Diceros bicornis minor: one gene and its partners. The protein of the gene in region 3 purifies or fractionates together with the protein of the main gene of each other region. This does not show direct contact. Links are inferred from orthologs where the notes say so. Each region holds a gene or a part of one and is shown on either strand. Other genes may lie near its edges. The genes, in order: NCBP2, SSRP1 and ZC3H18.

What was found.
Region 1: the proteins of ZC3H18 (region 3) and NCBP2 purify together in Homo sapiens (co-immunoprecipitation; 3 studies listed by BioGRID and IntAct, with this or other methods). This does not show direct contact. The link is inferred for Diceros bicornis minor from reciprocal best matches to the Homo sapiens genes ZC3H18 and NCBP2.
Region 2: the proteins of ZC3H18 (region 3) and SSRP1 purify together in Homo sapiens (affinity purification with mass spectrometry; 3 studies listed by BioGRID and IntAct, with this or other methods). This does not show direct contact. The link is inferred for Diceros bicornis minor from reciprocal best matches to the Homo sapiens genes ZC3H18 and SSRP1.

The regions. Positions count from the first base shown.
Region 1 is NC_080754.1:29,106,572-29,113,989, reverse strand, and holds the start of NCBP2 (nuclear cap-binding protein subunit 2), read left to right. Parts: upstream 1-2,535; 5' UTR 2,536-2,602; coding exon 2,603-2,680; intron 2,681-4,723; exon of another isoform or gene 4,724-4,970; intron 4,971-5,680; coding exon 5,681-5,862; intron 5,863-7,418. Other genes in the region: protein NCBP2AS2, read right to left, coding at 2,074-2,373. UniProt on the Homo sapiens protein: Component of the cap-binding complex (CBC), which binds co-transcriptionally to the 5' cap of pre-mRNAs and is involved in various processes such as pre-mRNA splicing, translation regulation, nonsense-mediated mRNA decay, RNA-mediated gene silencing (RNAi) by microRNAs (miRNAs) and mRNA export.
Region 2 is NC_080770.1:16,424,775-16,432,192, reverse strand, and holds the start of SSRP1 (FACT complex subunit SSRP1), read right to left. Parts: upstream 3,993-7,418; 5' UTR 3,980-3,992; intron 2,087-3,979; coding exon of another isoform or gene 1,994-2,086; intron 1-1,993. Other genes in the region: SLC43A1 (large neutral amino acids transporter small subunit 3), read right to left, coding at 1,994-2,086, 4,433-4,509, 4,642-4,697, 4,807-4,984. UniProt on the Homo sapiens protein: Component of the FACT complex, a general chromatin factor that acts to reorganize nucleosomes. The FACT complex is involved in multiple processes that require DNA as a template such as mRNA elongation, DNA replication and DNA repair.
Region 3 is NC_080771.1:37,025,352-37,032,769, reverse strand, and holds the start of ZC3H18 (zinc finger CCCH domain-containing protein 18), read right to left. Parts: upstream 5,100-7,418; 5' UTR 4,928-5,099; intron 1-4,927.

The DNA of each region.
Region 1 (7,418 bases), on a different chromosome or scaffold from region 3:
GGCTTCTTGGGACTTCTGCCTCTTCCTTCCCTCAATTGGGTCCACAACCTCAGAATTCCCTGGAGGAACCACTGGTGTAGCAGTCCACGTGGATTGTGGTGGTCTGAGTTCAAATGAATTTGTCCATAAACCGTTGGTATCTAAATCTGTGTGGCATCAGGGGTGAGTCGGAATTGCCCTGCAGTATAGCAGGGTGAGTTGCCTCCCTGTTTCCCTTTCTGGAAGAGCTTAGAAGAGCTTAAAAGGCATGCTGGGAAATCGCTGCTACTGGGGGTGGTGGGAAGAGTTTGGTCTGTTTCTTGAGTCATAGGGTAACCGGTGGGATGGCAAGCCACTGACTACAAACACTGGAGGCTTCTCCAACGAAGGGGGTAGGCATGTAAATCACCTCCAGCTGCACAGAAAAGACCCAGTTCTCTCTCTCCTCCCAGACTCCTTCTACAAAAATGGAGGGAACGCAGTTCTTATACACTTCTTTGACAAAAAATAAACTGCTCCCTTCGCTTGCTTTCCTTCCTTTCTTACCAAATGGCCAGTTTATCTGGAAGCTGCATTGCTTCCTGTACTGCTTCTCTTTCTGACTCTGCTGGTCTGGAAAAAGACCTAACAGTGAGTGTGCTTATTTATGTTGAGGGTAAGGGGTTGGGCTGGGGACTGCCAATATTCTGCTCCTCTGATATCCAGAGTAATGAGTGGGATTGAGACCAATGAGGCAGACAAGTCAGAATGAACAAATTCCTCAAGCTCCTCACTGCCAGGCTCAGAGGAGAAGCCAGTGAATTGCCTCTGGTCTGGGAGAGGATTTGTCTTCTAATGGGAGGACAGGAAGATAGGACACATGCCAAATCAGGACTTTGGTAATTAGGAGACTGGGACCTCTGGCTTCAGAGAGGATTAAATAGCAGCACCTCTGATAGGAAGACTGGAGAGTGGGATGTGAAGTCAAAAGTCTGACCATTAGGAAAGTGGAGGACCAGCTACTTTAGCTTCTCCATCTCCAGCGTAGGTCTATGGCTCTATCTAACTCTCTCTCTGTGACTATCAGAAAAGCCAGAGTATAAATTGTCTTTGGTTACCAGCCTAAAAGCTTCTCCTGTGGTTTCGAGCTTTCTAGATCACATGATTAACTGTGTAGCCTAATTAGAGGTGATCAGATATGCAGTCAAAAGCCTCAAATGACGCCATTTCTGTGTACAATGAATTTCCTAACCATGGCTCCATTCGCTGGACCATAGTCTTTAGATTGTATCCCAGACCCTCTAAAATGGGGAACAGGAATCCAGGCAGCTTGTTCCACGTAGGCAGGAGTCCTAACACCCAACGGTGGTGATGGTGGGAGGCGGGCAACGAAGGTCCGGGTAAATGTGGCAGGGAGCCCTGACTAAGGATTTAGGCCCTGGAGTCAAACGCCTGTATTCACATCCCACTCTGTAAGGCCACGGGCAACTTAAGGAGTAGCCTACACTTCCTGATGTGAAACTGGCTGTAAAGAGTTAAGTGAGCTAACCCACACAGAGTGCATTAGCTGGTGCCAGCACTGAGTAAGCACCCAATACGTGTTCACTAGTATTACCATGTGCCTACAGTCCCCAGGAATCCTAACCCATCTTGCCGGAGAAGTACCACGCTCATACCCATTACCCAGCTCACACATTTAATCAGAGGATTTTGGCAGCTGCAGGGCTGTCTTCCCATCCATGATCTCCCCTGGAAGTCACGCCCTGCTAGCACATCAGTGCAGAGGCAGCATCATAGACCACGAGTTTTAGTCCCATTCGCGGAGGGCAGACTGTCTTTCGGGCTGAGGTTTGGTCCGTGGCTCCCTGTCCGTGATGTATCCAGGCCCAGCCTATCTTTCTTCCTCTCAGGCTTCGGGGGCTTCCTTCACACACGGTGCCCTGTCGGATCACAGGGCTTCACCCAGCTCTGGCCAGTGGGACCCCGGCAGGCCGACGATCTGAGTCAGGATTCGAAGCCGCGCGCAGTGCCCGGGGTGACTCCTTAGCGCCGAGGCCTGTGTCGAGCCTAGAAGGGAAAGCAGGCGACCTCGGCCCGGCCCAGCCCAGCCCGGGTTCAGGGGTTTGCGCCCGGGCCCCGCCGGCTACCTGGTGGTGGCCCCGGGCGTTCCCGGAGGCCGCGGCGTAGCTCCTGAGTGAAGGTGTCTTTGAAGCGGGCAGCCCGGCGGCCCAGGGAGCCCGCGGGCCCAGCCGCGAGGCGTCGCAGGCGCCGGGCCGCGTCCTGGCCGCGCAGCTGGGCCTGCAGCAGTGCGAAGGCCGTGAGCTGCGCCGCGCGCCGGATCGGCCGCGACTCGGACAGACGCTCCACCAGCTGCTGGCTGTGCAGCAGGGCGCCCAGCAGCCGCCGAAGAACCATCCTCGGAGCCACCCGGAACCCGAAGCACGCCGCTCTTGCTTCTGCTCGGCGCTCCCCAACAACGGACCACGTCTGCGCCCGCGCCGCTGGGTGACGACACTGCCACGCTTGGATTGGGCCGCACGATTCCGACTTTCTGCAACCGCCCCCGCGCGTTTCCGCTTCCGCCTGGGCCGCGGCGGCCTCGTTGTTCCCGGAGTGGCGGCGTCGCCGACCAGCTGTGTGCACTATGTCCGGCGGCCTCCTGAAGGCGCTGCGCAGCGACTCGTACGTGGAGCTGAGCCAGTACCGGGACCAGCACTTCCGGGTGAGGGAGGCCGGGCTGCGAGAAGGGAAGGCCCTAGGCCGGGACGCCGAGAATCGGTTTGCTCTTGTCTCATTGTGTCGTCTCCCGTTCTCCAGTTTCCCGGGACGCGAAGAGAGGCCCCGGTGCCTCCTGGGGAATGGATGCTGAAAGGGCGTTTGGATGTCAGTGAAGCCCCATCTCTCATAGAAAGGGAGTTTGAGGCTCGCTTTCCCATTCCCTTGCAGCCGCTGCCTGTTAGCGGGCCACTGCAGAGCGGTTTGAGCGGCAGTAGTGGTGGCTCACGTTTTCACGGGCTGTGTCTCGGGAAGCTGACTTGGCGATGAGGGGAAGAGGTGTCCTTTGACGCCTGGAGTATGTGGAGGCGCCTTCCTGACCCAGATAGTGGGACTTTTTATTGCTTTTTAAAATTTTAAGTTAAATTAGCCAAACTGCCCCTTGGCGCTTCGAGTCCTGTCCTTGGTCTGGTAGAACGGTCCTACACAGTTCTACGCGGTGGATGGGAGACACAAATTTGAGTCCTGTCTCCACCCTTAGGGAAGCCCTTGGAGTGGGGAGGTGGACCAGCCAAGCTAGGCACATTAAGTGTCTGGATATCAGGATCAGAGAACTGCTGGGTTTCAGAAGGGGGAAATTTCAGTTTCGCCTATGTCATAGTAGATTATGTGGAAAAGGGAAGGCTGCAGATATTCGGGGTACGCTCTTCAGTATCAGCAAAGGCGGGGGTGGGGTGGACGACACATGAACCACTGGTTATTCAGTAAACTTTTATTGAGTGTTGTTGCTGAAGCCTTCTGCTAAACCTTAAAGGGAGAGAGAAGACAGTTTCGGCACCCTTAGAGTTCATAATCCTCTAGTAGGGATGGTAAATAGAGGTAAGTAACCTTAATCTAGAGCAGAAATGATGAGTGGAAAGGGAGGGGCTGTGAGGAATCAGAAGGGAGAACCCTTATGACTGGGAAAGGAGGGCCACATATAAAAGAGGGTAGGCATGGAGAATGTAAAATGTGTTGGTAGGGAAAAGGAAATTTTGTTTGAGGCGAAATTGAGGAAGATCTTAAATTCATTCACTCAGTCAACAGTTTTTAAATGCTTACTCTATGCCGGGCATGATTTTCACTTCTATTACTTTCACAGTTCTCATTACTTTAGAAAGTTCCACATCATAACCATCTTGAATTTCAAGCATCCTGCAAGATTAAAACTGTGAACAGTTTTAATTAACAGATAAACAGAAAAACGACTTTTTCTGTTATTCATCTCTGCAAGTCTAAAGCCTATAGCTTTATTTAGTAGAAAGATACTGTGATGCGGAATTTCTAGTGTTCCCTGAATGGAATCCACGTTAACATCACACGTTAAGTACTTACACCACAGTTGTCTTAAGCCATAGGGTATTTGTTTGGACATTACTTACAAGTGGGAGAAAACTAGAAAGAAAAATAAATGCCTCCTGACCATAATTTTAACAAATCAGTAACAGCAGTAATATAAAGTGAATCACTTTAATGTCTCATTCCAAAGTTCTGAAAGCCTATTTTAATGTAGAATGACTCTTGTCCTGTGAACTTTTTAGGGAGTATGAGATTGGGGATAAGACAGGGTTTGGATTCCAGCTACAACTACTGAGTAGCTGTGTGACCTTGGACAAGTTACTTAATAGTCTTTCCTCAGGTGTAAAACGGGGATAATAAATTAGGACATACCTCATTCAGTTCTGAAAATTAAATGAGCCCTCATACATGGAAATCCCTGACCTGCAGTTCCTTGATTCTCCCTAGAGGCAGACATAATTAACTGTTTCTTGTGTATGATATCTGTGTATATTCATACTTTTATGTAACTTGCAGCATACCTTTCACGTTCTGTACCTTCTTTTTTCACTTTGCTCTCTCTCGGAGATGTTCCATATCACTGCATGTGGATGTTAGATTTTTTTTGGGACTGCATAGTTTTATATTTATTGATGTACCATAATTTATTCCATTTTCCTTTTGATGGATGTGAGTTCAGATGGTTTCTCTGTTCTACCACTGAATGTGATCAGGAGACCTATTACTCAGCACTGTGCTGCAAAGCATTCAGACACGAATAATGCAGTCTTAGTCTCTGAGTGAAGGAAGCTGGATCAGCATTATGTATGGTGTAGTACATGAAGAAGGGAGGCCTCTTGGGAAATGCTCTGGGGGCCTGAGTATGGATCTACTGAGCTACTTTCCAAGCTGGAATACCACTGTATGGTTGATGTTAGAGCCGTAACCTGGGTCAGAGGGGCCTGCGAGCAGGTCACTTGGTAGGTCTTCTATTTAATCAGTATTCGTCCTCCCCAGTGTGGAGGAGGTGAGAAGAGAAAGTCGGAGGACGGCCACACAGGTTTCTGTGAAGCCATCTAAAATACCACGTCTAGCCCATGATGAGCCATCTTGTCCCCAGGGATTGTCAGGTGTGTTGGCTGAAGTCCAGTTGTATTCCTCTCGCTTCATCTTGTCTTCCAAATTAGGAAGCCCATCAAGAAAGTGAGATATCTTATTTTTAGTGATCCCTACATTTTCTTCTAAACTCAGAGAAAAATATATGAGCATGTAAAACCATCTAAGCAGTTGTTGCTTTGAACATTCTCTATGGAAGTATTATAAGGCAGTTCCCTATCTCTGAAAATCCGTTTATTTTTCATCATGAAGGATAAAAGGGTCCCCTCTAATATATTGGTTCAAGGTCCAGAAATTAAATTTGGGCCATTAGAGAAGGAGCCAGTGCTGAGGATATGGGGTGTACAGGGAAAAGGCATGCCACTTGTGTGGCAGTATAGTGCAGGAGGAGGACCTGCATAGTGCTTCATGGACTCTTTTTTTTTTTGGCAAGGGATTTGTGGTGGATTGGGATGATGAGAGAAGCTGATTCCCAAATCAGAGTTAATGAAAGTTTTTTCTTATACTTAGGAATACTGTTTAAACAAGGCTGTTTTTAGATTGTGTTGCTTAACTTCTCTATTTGAAATTCTAGGGTGACAATGAAGAACAGGAAAAATTACTGAAGAAAAGCTGTACATTGTATGTTGGAAATCTTTCCTTTTACACAACTGAAGAACAAATCTATGAACTCTTCAGCAAAAGTGGTGACATAAAGAAAATCATTATGGGCCTGGATAAAATGAAAAAAACAGCATGTGGATTCTGCTTTGTGGAGTATCCTTCCTAGGTGTTTGATGAAGCTCTTGGATGAGGGTGGGGCCAAGAGTGGCTAGTCACCTGTTTAAAAAATGAGTGAGGATATTCACTAATTAGCACCCCTACACTTATCTCTACTTCTCCTTCCTTCATCTACCTCCTACCTTCTGTCCAGTGTGTCTACACTCTTACATTGTGAAAGCTGGTAACATTTACATTCTGTTCTGAAATCCATGCTTTGTTTATAGTAGATGCTTCAAGAAAAACAATCTTTCGAGAATGTATGCTTATGGTGATTAAAAAATCCAAAGGGTGTAGTGAAAATAATATCCCTGTACCATTCTAAGCCCAGAGACAATCAGTTACCAGTCTCTTGGGTGTCTTTCCAGAAGTAATCCTGTGGATGTGTGGTAGTGTACTGCATGCACTAGTTTTTTTCCCCACCTATCTTAGATTGTTCCATGTTAGCACATGTAGATCTACCTCTTTTTAAGATGGCTGTATAGTTTTTCATTATGTAGATGTATATAGCTAGATTTTATTTATTTATTTATTTATTGTGAGGAAGATCAGCCCTGAGCTAACATCCATGCCAATCCTCCTCTTTTTGCTGAGGAAGTCTGGCCCTGGGCTAACATCTTGCCTATCTTCCTCCACTTTATATGGGACGCCGCCACAGCATGGCCTGACAAGCGGTGCGTCGGTGTGCGCGCGGGATCTGAACCCCGGGCCGCCAGCAGCAGAGCACGTGTACTTAACCGCTACGCTGCGGGGCCGGCCCCTATAGCTTGATTTTATAGGTATTTATGTATGATCATTTATTGTCTCCCTGGAAACTCTATAAATATTGGACCTTCTGGATTTATCCTTTGGTATTTTGGTTTTTTTTTTTTAGCTAATATTTTCTTTTTTGGTCATTTTGTTTTATATTCTGAGAAATTTCCCAGACCTGATCTAACATGTCTTTTGAATTTTTTTTCTGTGCTCTGAATTATCTGTTTCTTTTGGTTGTATTTATGCTGTAAATTTTCCTTAAATGTCTGGTGATCCCTGGGTTTCCAATCGTGTTAGGGAAAAGAAGGCTGAGTTTGTGCACTCAAGCAGAGCTTCTCTCTCAAGTTGCTGCCTTGCCTTTGGGATATGTGGGTTTCTCAAATGCCAAAATGAAAAGGGATTTTATTTTAGCCTCCTGACATCAAAGACTGCCCTCGTTCCTCCAGATAGTTCGTTCAGAACCCTATCATTTTATTTTTATTTGCCTGGGATTAAATGCCTTCCTGCTAGCTGGTCGTCTTCCCACATAGAGACCTTTAATTAAATCCTATTTGTACCCTCACTTCTTCTTCAACTGTGAATTAAGAGCCTCTGGGTTTGCTGTCTCCTTTCTTAAGCCCCTTCAAGAATATTTCACACTGTGACTTTGTTTCACCCATTAGCACTCTTCCATCAGCTTTTGTTGAATCTCTCATCTGCTGATGGCCTCTTCTATTCTGTAGGTGTATGTTTGTTTCCTATCGTTTTAATAGGGGTCTTGAGAAGGAAAGGAGAGAAATATGCTCACTCTGTCAGCTTGA
Region 2 (7,418 bases), on a different chromosome or scaffold from region 3:
TTAAAAAGGCACACACATTTTGCCTGTGACACCATACACAGGCTTGTTTTCACACAAAAATGTCATTTCGTTTTATGTAGGAAAGAAGAGAATAAATGTTCGAGGTGCACCAGGCCTAACCGTGTTTGTCCTGCCCCTTCCTGGCACGTTCTCTGGGGGAAAGGCAAACCCAATCTGAGAAGCCTTATCTCACTTTTCACAGGTATTCATGGGTGCTCCAGGTGCAGCAACTGAGCGGGGAGGGGGGTGTGCTAGGGCTCTGCCCAAAGCCTTCTAACCAGGGACAATAGGTTCTGAATTGACTGGGATTCTGTGCCAATGTGTCAGCCCCTCTACTGGGGAAGCCAGGTACATAGAGATGGTGTCATTCCTCTTGTCCTCCCTGCCACCCTCTGCCCTCCCCTCAGGCTCCAGTGCTGCCTGGGAAAACTTCTGCTCCTCCTCGGCCTTGGGGCTCTTTCTTCCATGGGGGCAGGACAGAGCTTCAAAAGGCCACACCCCCATACGAGTAGGGGTAAGATCTGGCTCCTCAAACCCCACTGCAAAAGAAGGGAGAACTGCCACCCTCCGTGGCTGCTGCTACCCGAACAGCTGATGGCCACCCCCACCAATGCACATTCTCAAACTCCTTTGGGGACGCTGAGCTAGTGCCCTCTAAACGAACAAATTAACAGTCCAAGGCAGAATCTGAGGAGCACATTATAGCCCAGTTGAAAGGGTGCTTTGCTGCTGGTGGGAGTGCAAACTGGTGCAGCCACTATGGAAAACAGTATGGAGATGTCTCAAAAAGTTAAGGCTAGAACTACCATACGATCCAGCTATTCCACTGCTGGGTATTTATCCAAAGAACATGAAAACACCAATGAGTCAAGATGCGTGCACCCCCGTGTTCACTGCAGCATTATTCAAAATAGCCAAGATTTGGAAGCAACCTAAGTGCCCATCAGGGGATGAATGGATAAAGAAGATGTGGTATATATACACAATGGAATACTACTCAGCCATAAGAAACGATGAAATCCAGCCATTTGTGACAACATGGATGGACATTGAGGGTATTATGCTAAGAGAAATAAGTCAGAGGGAGAAGGTCAAATACGGTATGATCTCACTCATAAGTAGAAGATAAAAACAACAACAAACAATCACATAAAGACAGAGATTGGAATGGTGGTTACCAGAGGGCGAAAGGGATGATTAGGCACATGTGTGTGGTGATGGACTGTAATTAGTATTTGGGTGATGAACATGATGTAATCTATGCAGAAATAAAAGTATAATGATGTACACCTGAAATTTATACAATGTTATAAACCAATGTTATTGCAATTAAAAAAAAAAAAAGAAGGAAAGGGTGCTTTGATATCATTTGATGTCAGAGGAAGGAATGAGGCCCCAAGTTTGCCCAGAGCTAGAACTCAGCCTTCTGGCTCTAGGTCCACCGGGCTGACCTGTCTGGGATCTTGTCTGGCACAGACTAGCTTTGTGACCTTGACCCAAGTCAACCAGTCTCCCCAGGGCAGGGGAAGGAGATGTGGCCAGAAAGGTGAGGCCAGAGAATCAAGAGACTTGAATGCATGTGAAGAGGTTGGACTTGATTCTGTAGGCGAAGCAGAGCGGGTGTGTGAGCCAGTCATCCATCTAGGATCATTCTGGAAGTCATGTGAATGACAGATGAGAGAGGGAAAAGATCAGAGGCAGAGAGACCAGCTAAGAAAGCTTGCACCGGCCCAGGAGAGAGGATAAAGGCCCAGACTGGGACAACAGCAAAGCAAAAGAAGAGAGAAGAGAAATCAGACCCACTGGTTAGCAGCAGCACCTGACTCTTCCCATGATGCTTCAGTGATTTCCCAGAGGGGGTGGGTACTGACCTCCGGAGGCAGGAACTGGGTCACGGACACACTAGCCACTACTTACCCAGCCCCACCCAGTTCTTACGTCAAGGTGAAAAGAAAACCCAAGTGACCTCACGGCCCCCCAGGCAGCTCCATACCTTGATTCCCGGGAATGTGATGGCAGAGGAGGCATAGGAGCCGATCATGAGGGCCATTAAGGTGGAGCGCAGGTTCCCAAACATGTTGGGCAGCTGAGGGAGGAGAGCAGCGCCAGTGAGCAGGGGGAGACCATGACCCCCGCCCAGGGCTCCCCTTTCCCAGACCCACCTGAGAAAGCTTGGAAGCATCTAGCCCAGCAGAGAGCTCCAGGCACACCAGCCCCGTGAGAGGCAACAGAAAAGTTCTCAGGCAAAATCAATGTCGGAAACTCTGCTCTAACCTCCCTCCTACGGACTCCCAATGCACTTAGCATCTAAAAGGCTCCCAGAAGCGCCCTCAAAGAGAAATTTTGTCAATGTTGTTTAACCCCAGGACTTCCCAAGTTAGTTTTTTCTAGAGCCTCTTTATCTTGTGACACCTAGTAATAACCCATGGAATGGGTGTTGAAGAACAGTGATCGAGGGCAACTCATTTGACAGATGAGAAAATTGAGGTCCCAAAGGGGAAAGAAATGTACTCAAGTTCACTGAGCATGTTAATGACTTTCTCCTCGCTCTATCCCAGGCCCCAAGGCTGTGACCGTGGCTGGCTCTTTAACAGGATGGTGCCCCTTCACTCTCCCAGTGGCCCCAAAGGGGCCCACAGTTTCTGCTGAGCCAGGAAAGTCATGAGACGGGCTAGGGAGGTGAGAGTGAGACCAAGTGAGGGGGCAGGGGCAGGCCAGGTGTCCAGAGGAGGTGGCTCTGCCGTGCAGAGCAGGCCCAGAGCTCCCACCAGTAAAGAATTAATGGATCCTATGTTCCGCTCACTGGCCCAAGCGGGACCCTTGCGGGAGGGGAAAGCAAAGTCATGCCACCCTTTGTGTACCCGCTCTGGCCCCACCATCGGCCCCAGGTCAGATCCCATAGCTGGGGAGGGCCTTCGATGCTATACAAAACTTAAATCCTCTCCACAGAGGCCCAGAAGGGGACCTCAAATCGCTCTGGAAAGGAAGGTGGATAAACACAGAGAAGTGAGTCCCCCACCAACCTCCAAGTGGCTGTGAAAAGGGGGTAGGGTCAGGCTGACCCCCACTCGGTCAAGGTTTCCCTGGTACCCTGTGTCTGCAAGGCATACTGCCCAGGACGCCAGGGAAAGTGCTAGGGCCCGGGGAGCAGCTGGGCTCTTGGTGCTTCCCACCCCCCAGGGTCCAAGGGCGCTGTCTCCGCCCAGCACACTGCGAGGCCGGTCTGGCTAGCCCAGGATGATGGGCTGGGCAGCACCGGCATCCTGGCTGGGATCTGTCAGCGAGCGTGGAGGCCCGGGGGCGGGGCCGGGCCGGGGGCGGGGCCGGGCCGGGGGTGGGGCCAGGCCGGGGGCGGGGCCGGCGCCGGGCTCTGCCATTGGCTGGAGATTACAGGCGGCGGGGCAGGGGGAGAGGCGGCGGGCTGCGGCCGGCAGAGCCCCCGCGGCTAGCAAGGGCAGGGTAGGGGGTGAGGCCGGGTGCGGTGGGGGGCAGGACGAGGGAGAGAAGGGATTTAGGGCCCTGAGCCAAGTTGCACAGCGTGAAGATGGGGCTGCAGAGGGAGGGGGCGGGGAGGAAGGGAATCGCTTCCTTAGAGAGTTGTGAAATGTCCCAGGCTGGAATTAAAGGCGGCTGCTGGGTGAGGTGAAATTCAGCCAAAAACATCCAGTTTGGCGGTCAAGCTGCGCTCAGCTCATCCGAAATAAACAGCCCCGAGGCTGGCCCAGCCAGGAATCCCTCCCCCCACCACACACTCCTAAGCCTTTAACCCTTATACTCACTCACTCACATACATCAACATACACACTTAGAGTAACACACACGAAATTCACACACATACGTAAGAGGTCGAGCGCTGTGCAAAAGCCGTTTTTGTAGGTCAGGCATGGTCAAGTTCGGCAGTTTTACCTGGTTCAATAACACACTCACAAATACATTTACCTACTCACCGTTTCCCACAACCAGCATCCCACACACACACTGTCTCAAGCTGCTTCCTCCCTGTCACTACCAATCGCGTTATCCGGTTTTATTTTCTTTCCAGCACTCATGAGTACCGACATAATTTGTCCGTTTACTTGTTTGGGAGGTTGCCTGTTCCCCCAGCCCCTGAATGGAAGCTTCCAGGAGGGTGAGGAAGTTGTCAGCTCTATTTGTGCTGTAGCCCCTGTGCCTAGAACAGAGCTCAGTAGACATTATGTGCTCCGGATACACACACACACACATACACACCCTGACATCCATCCTCTGACACACAGTCTTATCCACAAGTACACAGCCTCACACCCACCCTTGGCTGCAGCCTGCACAGTTTCACACACACGTGTATTTGATCTGCATCCACTGGATCCTCTTGCGCTCTGACCCTCACTCATTCCTACCCCCAACCCACTCCTGGGTGCCCTGCTGCCAAGCCAGGGCTTGTCATACTCACTGTGAGTGATGAGAACGTTAGGCAGATGCCACCAAAGCCATTCAGGGACAGCGCCAGGAATATCAATGGAGACAGAACTGGGAAGGGGAGAGGGGTGGATGAGGGCATGTGGGGAGCAGTAGGAGACCTAGGGCAGGCGTAGGGGTAAACATCCATCTTCATCCCACCCATTCTTTTCTTGCGCCGGCATGAGAGGCCAGATATCTCACCTTCGGTGTCCCGAGAGGCCAGGGCCATGAGGGTGCAGGATGCAGAAAAGCTGGCGCTGTGGAGACAGGGGAGGGGGTGGGGTTGACCTGTGAACAACCAGAGCCTCCTCTCCCCTTACAGTGCCCGTGTCTGCCCTCCAGCTCCCCACAGCCTGGCCACCTCACCTGCCAACCAGCCGCGTGGGCCGGGGGCCAAAACGGTCCATGAGGATCCCCAGCGGCAGGGTGGTGGCGCTGAGCAAGAAGGAGCCGATCGTGAAGCCCAGGTTGAGCATCTCTTCCTGGCGATCACAGCTCGGCCACTGGTGCTGCTCATCCTGGGTAGTGTTGGTGGTGTTCTTAGCTGAGGAGGGGGAAGGGAGGGCTCAGCACATGACTGCAGGAGCAGCAGGGCGTAGGAGAGAGCAGCCTGGGATCAGGGATCCTGCGCTCAAATCCCATACCTCTAATTTACTGCCAACCAGGTGACTTTGGGGGTGGCCTGGAGTCATATCTGGTGGGGATGGGCTCCATAAATGACAGTAATTCATATGTGACCCAGGGAGAGTCATACGCCCAATCTGAGGCCTCAGCTAGCTCAAACATAATAACAGACATCAAGTATTTAACAAGTTGTAATATTCACTTGTGGGAGATCAGAATTGGCCATCCCAAAATGTATTAGTGAAGCTAGCTTCTTGGACTCAGCGACTCTAGGATCTGGTTGAGTACTCACTGGTGAATTGATCCTTTTCCTCCTAGATACAGTCACTATGTCTCCTTGTCTCTGTCTTATTTTGTCATTTGTCATAAGACACAGGCATGTCTATAAGCCTGTTGTCTGAGGCTTGGCTTTGTGACCTCGTTGGTCTCAACCATCCGGAGGATACATGTACTGGCATGCATCTTGGCAGCCAGTCAAGTAGACTGGGGTTCCAGGGCTTTTGTCTTGTTCTATGTCTTGGGATCTTGGCTTTGTGACCTTTCTTGTCTCTGCCATCCGGAGGATGTACGTACCGGCATGCATCTTGGCGGCCAGTCGAGTAGACTGGGGTTCTGGGACACACTCTTTGTCCAGCTGTGCCTGCTCTCAGGGAAGTTTGTCATAAGGGGTCCCATTTGCTTTCATAAGGGGGCTTTGTCATCTCAACCTTCATTGTTTGCTTGTTGTGCTTTCTTATTTTGGGGAGTGAATTCTCTGGATCTCTTTTGGGGACGCCTCTTGCATCCATGTTTAAGCTTTGGTATGAGTCGCTGTTAAGATTAAGATCCTACTCGTCAATGTGGCCAGACAATGGATCATTTAAATTGAGAAAACTTCTAAATTGGGGAAAAAAAATTTTTTTTTTCTTTTTAAGATTTTTATTTATTTTTCCCCCCAAAGCCCCAGTAGATAGTTGTATGTCATAGTTGCACATCCTTCTAGTTGCTGTATGTGGGACTCGGCCTCAGCATGGCCAGAGAAGCAGCGCGTCGGTGCGCGCCTGGGATCCAAACCCAGGCCGCCAGCAGCGGAGTGCACGCACTCAACCGCCAAGCCACGGGGCCGGCCCTACGAAAAAAAATTTTTGAGAGCTCTCACCATAATTGTTTTCTTGGTACCTATGAAAAGGCCCAATTAAAAAAAAAAAAAAATACAGGCCGGCCCCGTGGTTTAGTGGTTAAGTGCACGCACTCCGCTGCTGGCGACCCGGGTTCGGATCCCGGGCGCGCACCGACGCACCGCTTCTCCGGCCATGCTGGGGCCGCGTCCGACATGCAGCAACCGGAGGGATGTGCAACTGTGACGTACAACTATCTGCTGGGGCTTTGAGGGAAAAATAAATAAATAAATAAATAAATTATTAAAAAAAAAAATTATAAAAGAAAAAAGAATGACTAGCCTTAAGACCCTGACTCAGGTTACAATTAAATTGAGAAAAATGTAAAAGTGTAAGTGTTGATAAGATTATAAAGGTTGGAATGTTTGAGCTGATTTTATATAAAGAGGTTATATCAACTTCGCCTGAGTGTGTTTTAAAATGTCTCACTGGCAATGCTTCCCTTGTCCAAAATTATAAGACCAAGACCTATTGATAAAGTCCTAATGAAAACTATGATTAGCGGTATAAGAGTTGATGGAATTCGGATGAAATTTTGTAGAAACACTGATGTATTTATGGGCTTTTATATAAAGTGATTGTATCTATTTTTGCATGAATTGTATTATAGATTGTATTATGGGAATAGACATTGTGTCTCACTGGGAAAAGGGAACGTTTCCCATGCCTGATTGTAAGACAGCATATAAATCTGCCCTTCAGACAGTGTTAATTAAACTTAGAAAAAGGAAGTCAATGGGGTTGCCTGAGCCCACACCATATGAGATAAAAACTAGAGACTAATATCAGGGGCTAATAAAGAAGATAATAGGAGCTTTCCCTTGCCAAGGTGTAGAGTTAAATTGTACACTTAGAAAGGTGCAGACTTTTAAAGGTGTGATACATTGTCCTGAAGTTTTAGAATGTACAAATCTTTAATTCACCTCTTAAGTTAAAATTTTCCCTGATATTTAAAAAAAAAAAAAAAAGCACTTGGGAAAAAAATGTAGCTGGAAGGGTGGGTCAACTTGTCATTCAAAGTGTAATCCAGTTCTTTGAGGCTCTAGAAGCAACTGTCTTTGTCCTACAAATCTCTGCAAGCAAATTTCTGCAGTTATGGCTCTAGAAAATAGTTCAAAGTTCATTGGCCAATCCCAAAGCCTCCCCTCTGAACTCTGGAGACTTGTGCAAGTGCTTAACGAAAGGGGAGATTCCTAA
Region 3 (7,418 bases):
CAGCCACGGCCACGGGCAAGGTGAAGAAGCTACCAAGGACAGGGCCGGCTGCTCAGGCCCTACATCTCTACTGTTCCAGAAAGAGCCTGGGGCATTACAGCAATCAGTCAGGGGCCAGTGGCGAACGGGAAGCCTCCCCTCTCTCATCCTTAGCTAACGATATTAATAAAACACATAAGATTTCCCTTTGTGTACGACATCCTATGCTTATCTTTGTCTAGTTTTTATTACAGTGTATATACGAAATCTTCTCTGGCAGGGACTTTTGTCTCCCACCTGCTTAAGCCAGCCCCCGGTGCCCTGTAGGCAGGCAGTCACACAGAACCAGTTACCATATGAAACCCGATCAATGCTGATGCTCACATTTACAGTCTAATGGCAATCTTGGAAACAAAGTTACCTCTTAAACCAATCAACTGTTATCCAAAATCAAAGGCCCCCTCAAACTAGTTTAAAAATTGCACAACTGATACTCTGCAGAAAACAACCCTGCAAGCCTGCCACCGGCCTGGCAACATACTATCCTGTTCACAGCCACAAACTCTCATAACCTGGTCACAGCCCTTTTCTGGGGCCCAGGTGCAAAATGGTTTCCACTTTGGTTTCATTGTTATGATTAGGTCCAAGCAAATTGCTTTTTGTATTTTGGAAAACTTGAACTTAAATCCTAGAGTGAGAAATAGAAGAAAATAGCGCCTAACTTCAGTATCGGAACCAATGCAAACGGGCCAGTCAAGTGGGAAGTCTGCCTCTTGGTGTGCTGTATCCTTATATGACACAGGGGATACTGCAATCAGTGTGTGCTTCTGAGCAGAACCTGACCCCCAGCTCTACTGCTTCCTAGCTTTAGGATCTTAGACAAACGGTGTAAACTTGCCAGACCCCAGTTTCTTCATCTGAAATATGGAGACAACAGCATCTTCTTTATAAGGTTGTTGCCAACAAGTAGATAAGACAAGCCTGATAATGTGCCCAGCACATGCTCCACATCTTTTAATTTAAACTGAATTAATGTGAAGATGAGTAAAGGTAATCCTCAACTTCCAGAAACAATACTCTTATCATGCCTGTCAGATCCAGTTCAAGTCTCTGGGAGCACTCAGGAGTAATTCATTCACCGTTTCACTCAACCAATGCCTGAGGACCTACTAATGCAGGACTCTGTTATTAAAACCACCTCGGCAATAAAACCCACAGCCCCACCACCTGCTGAGACCACTCCTGTGTCTGGCATTTGACCGATTTCCTCATATTAACCTTCCAAATAAGTGATGTTCCCCTTCCCACACAAGGAAACTGCGCCACAAGCCCACTGAGTGGGTACCCCAGGACTGCAACTCAGAGCTGCTTCTAGAGCGCGTGCTCAGTCAGAGCCCTGTACTATGCATGAAATGAGCTTCCGCTCCCTGCCTAAGAACCAACCCCCATTTTTTGCCATTGTTTCTACAGGAAAATGGGACCCAAGTTCCAAACAGATTTTATAAATTCTCTTTTGGAACACAGCCCATGCATAAACTGGGGACTTGTACTGAACCAGTAGATTCTGCCTGTTGTTCTCTTCTCCCTTCTAAAGTGTTCTGCTGGTCCATCTACACTGCTATCCTAGCCCTTCTAGAACCCAAAACACACATTTTCATACAGATGGAAAAGTTACTATATGATCTGTGTAAACTATTAGTTAAAAATGGTGATCATCACATGGAGATTCGACTTGTAACAACAGTCATTTATTTTATGATTTTGAACTTGTCTGAAGTTTGAATCTTAGGCACTTACACCAAACATGAATCCAATAAAAGAAACCCCCAAAAGGTGCACACCTTTATACTAACACCACAGGAAGTGCTGACTTAAATTAAGATCCTGAAAGGCTGGTGTATTGTGGCATGGGAAATAATTTCAAGAATTTTATTGAGCCCGCATGCCCTCCACAGTTTGAATTACGGAAATCACTTCGACATTCCAAGGACGCAAAGGTAACTTCCCAACTCTCACAGGCAGTTCTCAGCGCTGACCAGAAGGTGGCAGAGCCTACGGTCCTGAGTGCACCTAGCACCATCAAGGGGGGCCTAGAGCTCTGTCAGCGGTGCTCAATCAGCCTTTGCGAAAGCATGGACTGCTCTGAGAATGGGATGAAGGAGATGGCTCCTCTGCCTAGAAAAACCTGGACATATGCAATTTATCTTCCACTTTAGGGAGTTCAAAACCTCCTGAGGTCCACTCATAGGCCCCAGATTAAGAACTCTTGCCCTAGGCATACTGTCCATTTGTCTATTATGTATCCATACTTACCACACTGTACTGCGACTGTTTGCAATCTGTTTGCAAAGTCTGTTGCGAGACTCCCTCAGCTCCCATGAAGTGCCTGAGCGGAAGGGCTCACACTCACCTCTGTGCTCCCCTAACTCAGCAAGTGGCTGGCACTTAGGAGCAGAGCTACCACAAAACTGACTGTCTAAACTGGGACACGCTTGAGACTGAAAGGGGGCATTAACAGCCACACAGGCATGATCAGGAGCTGTCCTAGACATACTGGGACATAGTCACTGTATGTCCTGACAATTTCCTGAGGAAAGGAGTCACATCTCTTCTCTCCCTATGGAACCTCTTGGGATTTCATAATCCGAAGCTGCACAGAACTGAACACCTTGCAGAAGAAAACAAGCCGAAGAATCTACCTGTTTATTAGAAGCACCCTGAGTCACACCTTGCTGTGCAGAAGAGGAGAAGTGTCACTGGAGTCAGAAGGTGGCTTCTGTTCCAGGCCCGCTCTGGGCAGGTTAATTGTCTCTCTGGATGTCTGCCCTGTTGTGAAATTAATTCAACTTGGCAAATATTTAAGTGGGTGCTCTCTGTCAGGTGCTGGGAGAAACCTGTGGCCTCTTAAGTGTAGAAAACGAAATGGAGGTCTGGCCATGTCTTCACCACTCCCAGGCTCACAGCTCTCATACAACCGCCTGCACCCACTCCCGGCAAAACTGCGCACCCTTTAGTCCTCTGATCCCCAAGATGGAATAATGAGTGTCCATCCTTGTGTCTCCACTGCCTACTGCATTTGGCAGACAGTGATTAATAAATGCTTGTTGAATAAACGAATGAATAAATGAGAAAATCTCGTGACTTGATAAACTACCTGTCGCTTACCAGAAATATCTGAAAGAAGTGCCAGTTTTAGAAGACTATACCAGAACTCAGATGCAGAGTGGGGCTGTCTCATTTCCCAGCCGTCACTCCGGAAGGCTGCACATTGATTCCAATGGCACTGCTAAAGCACAGAACATTTTGGGAACCTCTCTCTTTGAGTGACCTGTAGAACACTCTCTTGGCGCTCTCAGTGGCAGCAAGTCTTCCTCAAGGTGGGTCACTTTGAGAAAGCACAGGAAGCCATTCAGAGGTGGTGAGGTGAATTACCAAGCCAGATAAGACAATTTTTGGTCAAACATGGGGTGTGACTATTGAATGAGATTGATTTTCTCATACGCTTATATATTTACTACCAAAACGGGAGTTCTAAAGAGGTTTTGGCAAAGGAGCACCAGTGAAATGCAAGGTACCCTTCTGGGATAACGACCTTCAACAGAGCAGACCCTATTTGAATGCTTCAGTTCTGGTACAGCTGGTTAAAGTCCTGGTTCATAACTTCATGGATTTACAACATCCAAAGGAAGGATGTCAAGGCTGGTGACAGCACCCCCAAAATGACTAAGCTTGACTACCAAAAATTCCCCAAGTAAGTCTCACATTGAGACGATATGTAGCTGTGAAAAAGTAAACAAAAAACCTCTTTAAACGTGAGCAAGGCCACAGCTTACTTGTTTGCCCTCTGAAATGATTCCACAAAGCTTTCTTACAATGTTTGAGCATTTCCCACCCCAAACTGGAGATGAGTTCCAGCCTTTGGGACACATACCATTGGTTTCCATAGTTGGGTGGGCTACATACGTGCTCAGATTGTAAAACTGTCAGACAGACTCCCCTCCCAGGGCTTGGAGGTGGGAATCAGCCTGGGTCCAGGCTCACCCTGAATCCCAACCTCGGTTCTGGGAAAGGACCACTCTGCGGGAACTATGATGAAGGTGAGTCTCTAAGAAGAAAGGATGAGAGCCATTGCTACGCTCCCAAACAGTACTTCGGATGTCAAACACCCTCCTCTTCCTTTTTCCCCAAACGCATCTGAAGTCTGACCTACTCTTGCAAATGAGTTTGCTGGACAAAGCTCATTTAAAGTGATCAACCAGCCTACCCAGCAAAGTCGGCCGTCATAAAGTATTCAGGAAAAGTTAAGTCTTAGCAGGAGCAAGACTGGCAGTCTCCCACTCAGGTTCGCCCAGCATCACAGCTGCAGTAGTTTATCCCAAGGACCCGGCATCATTCCTCCGGCTTCTGACCAAAGGCGCAGGAAAGTTTCACATCCTAAGAGAGTGGCGCGCGTCTTGGGGCACAGCCAGCGCGTCCAACCTGTGCACACTGTGACGTCGAGGGAGCAAGCTCCAGGAGGCTCCAGCGAGCTCAAAGTTCCCTAAGAGCCCATCGACAGCCCGGCCGGCCTCCTCTGAGGGCCGACCCGCGTGCCCCCCCTGCGGGCGGCAAACATGTGCCCCGCGAACGTCCCGGAAGAGAAATGACAGCTCCGGGAGAACCAACTCCACGGCAGGGCGCCAAGGCAGCCGCGCGGGGCTCGAGTTCCGAGGGGTCCAGGGCTCTGGGCTGGCTCGCCGCGGACGGAGCGCGGGATCGTGCCGCTCTCACGGCCCCTTCCCGGGGCCCGAGAGCCACGCTTCGGCCGGGGGCGCAGCCCGGAGCGCTCCCCGGAGGCGGCGGCGGCGGGGCTCCCGGGCCTGGGCTCCGCGCCGCCGCCACGCTCCCCGCCCGGCCGTCTCGGCCTCCCCTCCCCACCGGCCCGGCTCCCGCCGCCGCCGCCGCTTACCTCAGCGCGAGGGCGGGGAGGGGGCCACGGCTCCGCTGGGGTCTGGACGGCGCGGGGAAGGCGTCCCTCGGCCCTTCCGCTCCTCACAGTCTCCGGCTCCAGGCGCGACGCGGGCGGAACAAACGGGCTGCACTACCCGCGGGGGCCGGCCATTGTGCGACGTCATCAGGCCGCGACCGCCGTCCTCCGGGCCGGCGGGCTTCCCTCGCCCGCCCCGCCCTCCGCCCGCTTCCTTCCGGCTTCCGTGCGGCCCCACCGCGCGGCCCCGCCCGCGCGGCGCGCGCGCCCGCCCCTCCACGGCGCAGGCGCCGCCAGAGGCCACGCTCCCGGGGGCGGGTCTCCGAGCCCGCGCGCCGCCGGCCGCCGGACGACGCCTGCGGGGAGGGTCAGCGCGCCGCGCGGTCACATGACGGGCCGCGAGGTCACGTGACGCGCGGAGCAGCCGATTCCCGCGTGGCGGAGTCGTGCGGTGAGTGGGACGGTGGACCTTCTGCAACGAAGGTGGTTTAAGCCTCAGAGCTTGCATTTTAACTCCTTCTGTGGGAGTAAGGAGCTACCGCCCGACAAATTAATCATTTTTGAGATATGGAGTTTAAATGCCAAAGCTTAAACATTTTTAACTATTTCCACTTTCTTAAAAATAATCAGCTCAACACAAGAATTAATTGTTTTTTGAAATATTGAGTTTAAATATCACAGCTTATAATTTTTAACTATTTACGTGGGACTAAATAGCTCCAGCTGTATTAAATATAATCAGCTCAACACAAAATTAATCATTTTTGAGATAGAGTTTAAATATCAAAGCTAAAGTTTTAAACTATTTCCATCGGACTGGATAGCTCCGCATCTTACTAAATGTGATCAGCTTAACCCGATGTAACCTTTCCGTGATCAGAAGGACATCATGTGATACTTGGAGCATTTTTACAGCTCTACAACTACCTTCACAGACCCTCAGGGTGGAGCCTCCTGGAGCCACGCTGCAGAGGATCACACAGTGTGCTCTCCATTTTAGAGATGAGAAACTCGCACTTAGAAGGGTTCCGAGCTCGGTTGAATGACCTGCTTTCCCCACCTTAAAATTCTTAGTCATTTTTGAACAAGGGGCCCATGTTTTCATTTTGCACTGGACCCTGCAACTTATATAGCCTGTTCTGGGGGTATCTAAGGGTTTTGGGGAATGGTGAGCAGAGCAGGCCTTTCCTCACCCCATCTTCCTCCTCCAGGAAATGTGCAGTACTAAGAAGGGCTCCTCCTTGGGGCAGCCTGCCTCCATTCAGCCCACAAATATAATGTCCAGCACATGGTGAGGTTGAATGAACTCATAAATGTTTGCTCCATGTTTTCCGAATGAATGAATGAGCAGGGGAAGAAATGAAGGTATTAACACAGCTAATGCACTCCTTGGTGTCTAACCCAAGAGAAATGACACGTATCTAGACAAAACCAGAGCACAAATGTTGGCAGCAGCACTGTTCACAGTAGCCTCAAAGTGGAAACAACCTAGATGTCCACGCCCGGATGAACGGATAAACAAAATGTGTTCTAAGTATACAGTGGAATAACTATTAAGCCATAGAAAGGAATGAAGTCATTATAAGAAGAGATAACAGAGAGAGACCCCCCCCTTCTGTCTCTCCCTTCCCCACCCCACCTCCACTGTGTGAGGACACAAGAAGGCAGCATCTGCAAGCCAGAAGAGAGCTCTGGCCAGACCCCTGCTACGCTGGCACCCTGATCTTGGACTTCCAGGCTCCAGAACTGTGAGAAAGTAAATTTCTGTTGTTTAAGCTTCCCAGTCTATGGTATTTTGTTAGGGCAGCCCGAGTTGACTAACACATTCCATCTACATGAAATATCCAGAAGAGGCAAATCCATAGAGTCGGAAAGTAGAGTAGTGGTTACCGGGCCTGGAAGGAGGTGGAATGGGGGGTGACTGCTAAATGGTGTTGAAAAAAGAAACAGGCCCAAGCTGGAGTCAGCAAACCAGGACTTAATTGCAGTTTCAGCCCCTCCCAGGAATGTGACCTTAAAGGATCAGTCTGGAAAATCCTGGTCAACACTAGTGAGGTCATCTGATAAGACCCCTGAGCCCTTCCCCCAAAGAAAGTTGACCTTGCCTGAAACAATCCTTTCTTTTTTGTTTGCTAGTAACTTTCTTGTCCCGCCCAGTTTCTGCCTATCAATACCTTCCATTTCAACAACTCTCTGCTTGCTAGATGGGATGCTGCCCGATTCATGAGTCATTGAATAAACCCAATCAGATATTTAAATTGACAAGGTTGAATTTTTGTTCATTAACAGATTTGGTGGCAGCAGCACAACCGAAGGAGACTTCCAGCAGCTTTGGGAATAGCAAGAAACACAGGCGTGGTGCCTGAGAACCCTTTGAGTTCTTCTGTCTTTCTCGCCATTTCTGAGGGCCATTGGTGAGTTCCTCTCAGTTTGCGCTATGCAGTCTTTGCCTCCAGCTCTTGATCTAAGTGGC